Linked DNA regions of Zea mays. The protein of the gene in region 1 interacts with the protein of each later gene in a pairwise test. Links are inferred from orthologs where the notes say so. Each region holds a gene or a part of one and is shown in the gene's direction. Other genes may lie near its edges.

What was found. The genes of interacting proteins can lie anywhere in the genome.
Region 2: the proteins of Protein PEP-RELATED DEVELOPMENT ARRESTED 1 homolog, chloroplastic (region 1) and protein rough sheath 2 interact in binary tests that used the Arabidopsis thaliana proteins (3 or more experiments, as listed by UniProt). The link is inferred for Zea mays from reciprocal best matches to the Arabidopsis thaliana genes AT5G48470 and AS1.

The regions. Positions count from the first base shown.
Region 1 is NC_050099.1:18,446,101-18,450,053, reverse strand, and holds the start of Protein PEP-RELATED DEVELOPMENT ARRESTED 1 homolog, chloroplastic, read left to right. Parts: upstream 1-1,150; 5' UTR 1,151-1,153; coding exon 1,154-1,480; intron 1,481-2,010; coding exon 2,011-2,166; intron 2,167-2,608; coding exon 2,609-2,677; intron 2,678-2,781; coding exon 2,782-2,952; intron 2,953-3,562; coding exon 3,563-3,706; intron 3,707-3,953. UniProt on the Arabidopsis thaliana protein: Plays an essential role in early steps of chloroplast development. May be involved in the redox control of plastid gene expression by maintening the redox state around chloroplast nucleoids.
Region 2 is NC_050096.1:158,673,988-158,678,280, reverse strand, and holds the start of protein rough sheath 2, read left to right. Parts: upstream 1-1,481; 5' UTR 1,482-2,110; intron 2,111-4,293.

The DNA.
Region 1 (3,953 bases):
CCTTTTGGTTGATCAAGTAGCATCCAGTTATCGTGTTGATGTTTTGAGTTCCTATTAGTTGTCCTTGTGCACGTGTTTGATTTGCTTCTTTGTAATGATTGTAGGTGTATTGTGTGACTTATGTCCACAATGCCATATGTTTACTAGGTAAAACCTTAGATAGTTGTGTTTTTTGTGCTCTCTGTACCTTATCTTTTGCTCAATATTTTCATATCCTCCTTCCTACCTATAGTCTCTGGATAGACAACGTTGCGTCGTGCCAGAATTGTCCATTCTGCCAACGAAGCAGGTAGTGCTAGGGCGGACGTGCCACCATTGGGGCTGTCCACGTTGTTAGGCTACTCACAATGGGGATTTCATGTCTCTGTTTCCAAAAATGCCACTTCAGATTTATGGATGAATGAAATACCCTCTCTCAATAGAGAGTTTCATCTCACTATTTCATATGTCAACATACTTCTTAAATGCTGCATATAAATAACCAATAGGATTTACTCAATTATATGAAGATGAAACAAAACACTCTCAATGGAGGTTTCACACAGTTTCCAAGATCTTGGAAACGAGTTAACATGGTTTCATCCCCATGAAACTCCATGAAACTCTTCCTTCTTAAATGATGTGACATGTCATCAAAATAGCTGATGTGACAGGCTAATTAATACATGAAACACCCCATGAAACCTCCATTGTGAATAGCCTTACGGAGCTGGGGAGCGAATGGTCAACATATAAAGGTGAGTAATTTTCATTAATAATTAAAAATCAATGGAAAAAGAATAAAAATAAGTGATAGGTGAGTAATTTTCATTAATAATTAAAAATCAAAATCAGGTAGAAATAGTAGTAAAATTGCTACCAACTTTGTAGTAGGTAAAAACTGCTTTAGCTGTGTATTTTGATAAAAACCAATACCTTTAGTTGGCTTTTGTTTTTTTTAAAATTAAATGTTAGTTTTTACGTAAAAAACCATATGCTATGCAAACTTATTCGTTGTAGCCCCTTAAATTTATGTGCTGTAGGCACACATGGATATGGATCTGCAGCTTATAAATATAAGGAACTACAACGAAATATTTGTATCCTATATGCATTGTTTTTTCGTTTAAAAACTGCACAAGAAGCCTCTTAGCCTCAAACCGCCAAGAATGGAATGGATAGATCTGCAGCAACCCCTCCCAGAACCTCTGACTTTGCTTCCCATCGCTTCGTTTCCAAGAGGAGAATGTTTCTCTCCCTTGCCCAGTCGCCTGCCTGCGCCGTCGTCTCCTTCCCATGGAGGTCCTCGTCCCAACTCATCCCACGGGTCCCCTCCCGCTGCACCCTCGCATGCCACGCAGCGGTGCCCAAAGTGCCCCTCCCCATCGCCTCGCCGGCCTCCCTCGGGGACGACCCTAGCAAGTGGGACCCCGCCGAGTGCGACGCTCTCCTCCGCGGCGGGGAGCAGGTCGCCTCCGTGCTGCAGGAGATGGTCACGCTGGTCAGGATGCCCTTCCACCGTTTCTTGGGTTGCTTCACTGAATCACTGACGGAGATTACTAGTATGAATTTTTGAAATGAACACAGTGCTTCATAAAATTGCGCAGTTTTTCGGATTTTCAAACTTATTAGGTCGTTATTTATATTATAAAAAAGGTTAAGCTGTTCCGCAATGAACTGTTCCACTAGTTTCTTTCGTTGCCAGGTAGTATGCTAGTGGAGTTTGGCCCTCTTGGACTAATTGGCAAAGAGTTGTGAACGCTTAGCCCATGGCTACGGCTTAGCCCATCGTCAATTTATCCTCCATTTTCTTTCCTCTACGGCTTATTAGTTTGTTCTATATTATAATTCGCACTAAAATGGTTCAAAAACTACCATTTGGGAGTCTTGAATGCTGAATGTGGTAAACTGTTAATCTCATGTAGTTGTGCAGAATATAACCGTTATTCATGTGGTCTGACTAAATGCCTCTACCTTATAATTGTATTACTGATATTGTTCTTGTATGTGATTTTCTATTGGTGTTTGTAGATGGAGGACATGGAGATGGATGGTGCATTTGAGCAGGTTGCTGTGGAGCTGGTGGCACAAGGAGTTATTGGGAAGAGGGTGGATGAGATGGAGTCAGGTTTTCTTATGGCACTTGATTACATGATACAACTTGCACAGAAGGACACAGATGATGAGGTACTTGGTAGTCATTGCCTAACTCCACCAAGTACCTGTTTGCATAACAGCTTATTTATTCTTCACTAGGCGTTACCACTCATTTGCCTATCTTTACTAAAAAGCATAATTGAGCTATGTATTTTTCTTTTGCCACATTGTAACTATTTTTATACCAATAAAGCATATCGATGTTTCTTCAACTTTAACAGAGAAATTAAATATTATTACTAGTGTATCCAAACTTGTTTATATTTATTCATGTTAAAGCTAGTGCTAGTTACTTAGAGAAGATGCATAAATTAAAAGGACCTGTGAGATTGCTGTGTTGATGTGATAACTGTAAAATCCATGTATGCTTTGAGACATTGTTGACAGACTGGAGTGCTTACTAAATCCTGCTATATGCATATTTCCCCTTAGTTTATTCTACATGTTTTACATGCTTGTCTTATGATGGCAGCGTAAGTCTATTCTTGAGGTAATTAAGCAGACAGTGCTAGACCATCTGACGAAGAAATGTCCTCCACATGTAAGTGTTATTTCAAGTGTCCAGTGTTATCTGTGCATATATGTGTGTATGGATGTGGGCATGTTTGTGTCTTCTGACTGGTATTGTTGTATTTTACAAATCAGGTCCAGGTTGTTGGGCTACTTTGCCAGACTGAAAAGAAAGAGAGCAGACATGAATTGTTGCGCCGCGTAGCTGCTGGTGGAGGTGTTTTTAAGAACGATAAAGGTCTTAAGTGCCAAATTCCTGGGGCAAATCTTAATGACATTGCAAATCAGGCAGATGATCTAGTAGAGGTAAGTTGAAAAGCATGAGTACACATATCCTTTACTGATGGCCTTCCATGGAATAACACAATCTTCATAACCTGATTCTTTGCAATGGAACATTTTCTTTTTTGTAAGCACGTTTAATGATAAGTTGCTAGGAGAGTAAAACCTAATTACAATGTAGACTTGGTCACTCGGACACTCAACACACACGCACACGCACCCACGCACGCACGCCGTTTATTTATAGAGGGATGGACCAAACACTAAAAGTGTCCTCTAGTCATAGGAAACATTTGGACTGTTACTTTTGTGTTCTAAACAACCTCAAATTACAAACATAGAATGCTAGGGCTGCCTCACTATTTTATTATTTTATCTCACACTGCTTAAAATAGATCATCAGACCTAGAATGGTGGTGTGTCTAGTTAGAATTGCAAAGCCTAAAGTATGTTTGAAACTCCCAAATGGACGAGACAAAATGCTACTGGTGACATTCCATATCACTTTGCTTCTTGGAGATGATAATAGTAGGCTGATAACTTTTGGAAAAGAACTGCTTGTAGTAGTTAATTATTGTTGTTTTCATCTTGAATAATTTTTATGAATCTTCTAACGTCTTGGTTGTTGTTATAGTCAATGGAATCTAGGGACACCATTCCTGATCGAAAACTTCTTGCAAGATTAGTTATAGTAAGAGAAGAAGCTCGGAATATGATGGGAGGTGGCCTGTTAGATGAGAGAAATGATCGTGGTTTGACTACCCTCCCTGAGGCAGAGGTACTTTTAAACTTGGAAATCTTAATGTGACATGCATGGTAGATGTGTATTCCATGACTAATTGCAAAATATCCTTTTATAAGGGTCTTCAGTCTCTTTGGATTGCATATACATATGGTTGTTGAGATGTGATGGAGGAAGGGACATCATCAATTTGCTTGTCCACATACATCTCAGTGTCTAATATTATTTAGCAATTGGATGTTTAACAACTACATCAACTTTTCCATTTTATCACTGTGAGGAG
Region 2 (4,293 bases), on another chromosome or scaffold:
TTTCAAGACCCAAGGTAAGAAACTTGAGGTAGTCAAAGACTTGACCGAGAGGCTAGATTCTCTTGCCCAAACCTAGGACTCAGCCCTGGTCGAATAAGCAAAGATCACTGAGCTCAAAAGCAATTCTTGTCTGTGTCTGAGAAGGCTATAGACAATGAGAGATCCGTTAATAGAGGATTGGTTGCTCGGTTGTACTTAGCCACCAAGGCCAGAAACTCGGCTGATGAAGAGAAACATTAGTAAGTTCCTAAGCGCTTTGGTCTTTTTAATACTTCCTTATGTTTGCCCAAAACCTGGTCCTGCCAAAAACTTGTTCTTGTCAATCAGTTGTGTCAATATGGACGACTTACATCCATGATGTTGAAGAATGTCATGTACCCAAAGTAGTGTGAAGAGTCCGATAAGAAAAATCACCCAACATTAAATAAATAGTGAGATGGAGAGTCTGAATAGCTGATATAAAATTTAGAAGTAAAAATGTATTGATTGCTGACAAAAAAATCGTAAGATATTAAGATCAATAACAATACTATATGTTATTTATTTTTATCTAATTATTATGCTAATAGTAGCTGATATAACCACACACAGTTATTATACTAGTTTGACCTGTGTAACTGTTGGCCACAGAACAGGCTAGCTACTCGTCATGGGCACTCACTCAGGCGTGCCTGTTGAGTAGGAGCAGTAGTAGTAAAAAAGAAGAAGGAAAAAAAAGCGATCTCTAATCCGCGCGGCGCGGGGGCCATGCTGCCGTGATTTGACTCGTGGAAGCCCTCCTCCACGCTCGCTCCCCATCTTTTTCGTCGCTTTCCACGCGCGCTGTGCTCGCTGCCACGACAAGACGCGACGCCGACGACGTACGGCGCCTTTTCCCACCGCCCGCCCGCGCGCCGGCCAGCCCCCCAGAGATGCTGCCATTTCATTTCCCACCCCATCCCATCGATCGTCACTCTACTACTACTAATATTGAAGGAGCGATTAAAGCCAGCTATTAACATTGAAGGAGTAGTAGAAGCTGCAAATTCAACCCAAACGGATAGATTGTATAGGACTGGAATGAGTTTATTTCTTTGAATCTGATTTTTTTGCGTAAAATTTGATTCGGGGCGCGTATCCACCCACCCACGCGCGCACGCCAGAGAGGCCGGAGCCATGTCCGTCCATGTCGCTCGCTCGTCCCATCAATCAACTCTCCAACAGTCTCGCCTCTTCTCTTCTCTTCTCTCTCTCTTTTCTTTAACTTCTCTCTCCTTCCATCCCCCGCTGCCTCTGCGTGCTCAGCCCAGGGCCAGGGCCGGGCAAGCCAGTACTGCGAAGTCAGCTCGCAGCAGAGAAAGCACCCCCGGCCCACCCCCACAACCACGTACTGTATACTGCTGCCACTGCGCCAGCCAGCACGCTCCTCCACCTCCATGTGCATGCTGCAGCTGGAGCTGCATGTGTAGGCGTGGCCGTGTCCCGTCTCTCGTCTCGTGTGGGGGTGCCTGTGCTCATGCCATTGCCATTGCCATTGCCATGCTGCGTGCCGCTGTTGCCCGTGCTTCACCTGCGCTGCGCCCCCCTGCTCCACTCCATCCTAGTAGCTCTACAGCTTCGAGTAGCTCGCTCTCACTCGCGCTCTCTACCGCTCCGGCTCGCTGAGACCCTGACCCTGTGTCCCTGTCTATATATACACGCGCGCCCCCTTTCCGGGCATCCCTTTTCCTCCCGCCCGCGCCCCCGTCTTTTCCTTTCCGCGTGCCCTAATTTCTCGCTGCGCCTTGTCCCCCACACCTCCCTCCCTCCGCCGCTGGTGCTCTCTCCTCCTATACATACAAACACATACACACAAGCTCGCTCGCTCGCTCACGGGCTGTGAGAGAGGCCGTGGAAAGGAATCTTTCAGCTCACACCTCCCTATCCCTCCCTCCCTCCCTCCCTTCTCCTCCTACTGCTACTGCTCGCCAGGTCCCCTCGCTCGCTCGTCGTCTTCAACCTCACACAATTATTTGTGCTCCCGCTCCTTCCGTCCGTCCTTCCTCCCCCCTCCCCTCTCCCGCTCCTGCTGCCTTGCCTCTCAGCCGAGGGACGCCAAGGTCTCTGCCAGGATGGTGTAGGCCGTGCCTCTGTAAGTTCTTCGTTTCCTAGCTTTACTATCAACGCGCACGTATTAGTTCACTCGTTCGTTCGTCTCTGGTTGTGTGGATTATTGGGGAGGAGTAGCAGTAGTGGCAGTCTGATCTGGTTTAGCATGTCTTCTTGCATTCGGGTTGTTTTTTACGGCACCTCCTACATAGTAGCAGTAGCAGTACTGTGGTAGAGATGTTGATTTGTGACAAGGATTGTTCCTCAGTTTCCGGGTCTTTTATTTTACCAGAGGAAGCGCGCGGGTGCAGCCGCTGAATGTGATGTGTCCCCGGTTTTTTTTCTTCTATTTTTCTCTCTCGTTCTTTATTTCGTGGTATGTGCGCGTGAGCAGGAGAATTTCTTTTTTTGAAAGGCGAGCAGCAGGAGATTGTGTCGTCGATTTCGTTCCCAAAAATTTGGCTATTTAGTTCATGTCCTGCGGCCCCCCTATTTATTTCCTCCTGTTCGTCGGCGAGAACCGTCGGTCGTCTGCCTCGTACGTGAATTCTTCTCGTTCGGCTTCAGGTGTGCGGCGGCGGTCCTGAACTCGTTTTGGTCTGTCAGAATAGTTACTAGTTAGTTTGGTGCCATGGTTCTTCAGAAATCTTCCCGGTCGTCAACGCCATGTTTTCTTCACCCACCATTGTCCAGCTTGATCTCATCTCCCCTGGATGCCCTTTGGAGTATTAACCAATTAAGATCGAGCAAGGATCTGCAGCATGCGAAAATGATGAAGAAACCTTTGGGGGGGGGGAAAAAGAGAAGAGAATCGCTACTCCTATTCCTATATGATACTGTAAAGTTCACATCCAGCAGTCCACTCCAAGCAAGCCCTACGCAGATCCAACAAGTCCCATCCTACCCTTGTACTACATATATGTCGTAGGGTACCACCACACTGATCTGGCGTCGACACGTTGCTGTCCGCATTGTTGGGGCTATGTTTCCTCATCATGGTTTCACCATGCTTTGATTAGACGTAGATTTCGTAGAACCAACCAATCCTCAACAACACCACTTGGCCATCTCATGATTGTGTGTAGGGCATCACTACCCCCCCCCCCCCCCCCCCCCCCCCTCTCTCTCTCTTTCTCTGTCAAAATCTGGTCTTGTCTCCTTCACAGCACCGCCCTCCTTTTTTTTACATACAGTACAGTACAGGAGCCAAATCACTCACCTTCCCCGCCGCTCTTTTTTTCAACCATCCACAACCTCGGCGACGGGACGCATGGGGGAGTAGCACCGCCGTCTCTAACCCGGCGTTAGCAAGGCGCCGGAGCGCGGATTATTAGGGCTTGGTCCCGCGCGTCATCAAGGTCGCATTGACTCAGAGTTTTGCCTCACATTCCCTCGCCTTGGTTTCTAGCTTTTCGCTGGGGTAGAGAGGAGTATTAGGTCGGGCATTTAAACCTGGCAGATTTTAGCTTCGTCCTGGTTCATGCGCCACGTTAATGGCCGACGGCGACCTGGCTGGCTCCAGCAACAAGACAAGCGCGCGAGAAACCAGCGCGCGCGTGCTCGCTCGTAGTGCCCACACCTTTGTCTCCATGTGTATGTGTGGGGGTGTGGGTGGATGCTGATTGATAGCGGCGTCGCCATGAATCCATGCCGCTTGGTCCGGATTGACCTTGGACTGAAGGTTGATGGACAATACAGAGGCTAGTACATTTTTTACAGTGAAATCTACTGTGTGGGTTAAACTCGGGTGGTTACTCACTGCTCTGTCGTAGTATTAACTGGTCAAGTAAGGAACTGGAGGAATTAACTCCTTTTCTTCTGCTCATACTGGAGTAGGTCATGCACGGCAGTGTAAATGTTGCCTGGAGCCAGCTGCAGATCATCCTGTCACCTGAGTAAATTGTGGCCTAACAACTGCACGTCTCTATCCCACCGTTTATTATTTCAAACACATGTCAGGGTCAGAACAGTGTTGTGTACGTCCACTGCTGGTGAGCTCACAGCTCACTCAGCCTTTGAGCTGTTTCTCGAGCGTGCATTGGCGGCCTCTGCACTCTGCAGCAGCGCTGCAGCGACTAGCTAGCTAGCAAGCTTTGCTGGCTAACCACCACTGACGTGGTTGCTTTTGTTCCCCGTCCGGCATGCTAATCACTGTCCTTCACGTAGCAAGATGCTGACTGAGACATATCCGTGGTCTTTGCAGTAGTTATTAGCATATACTTTTTT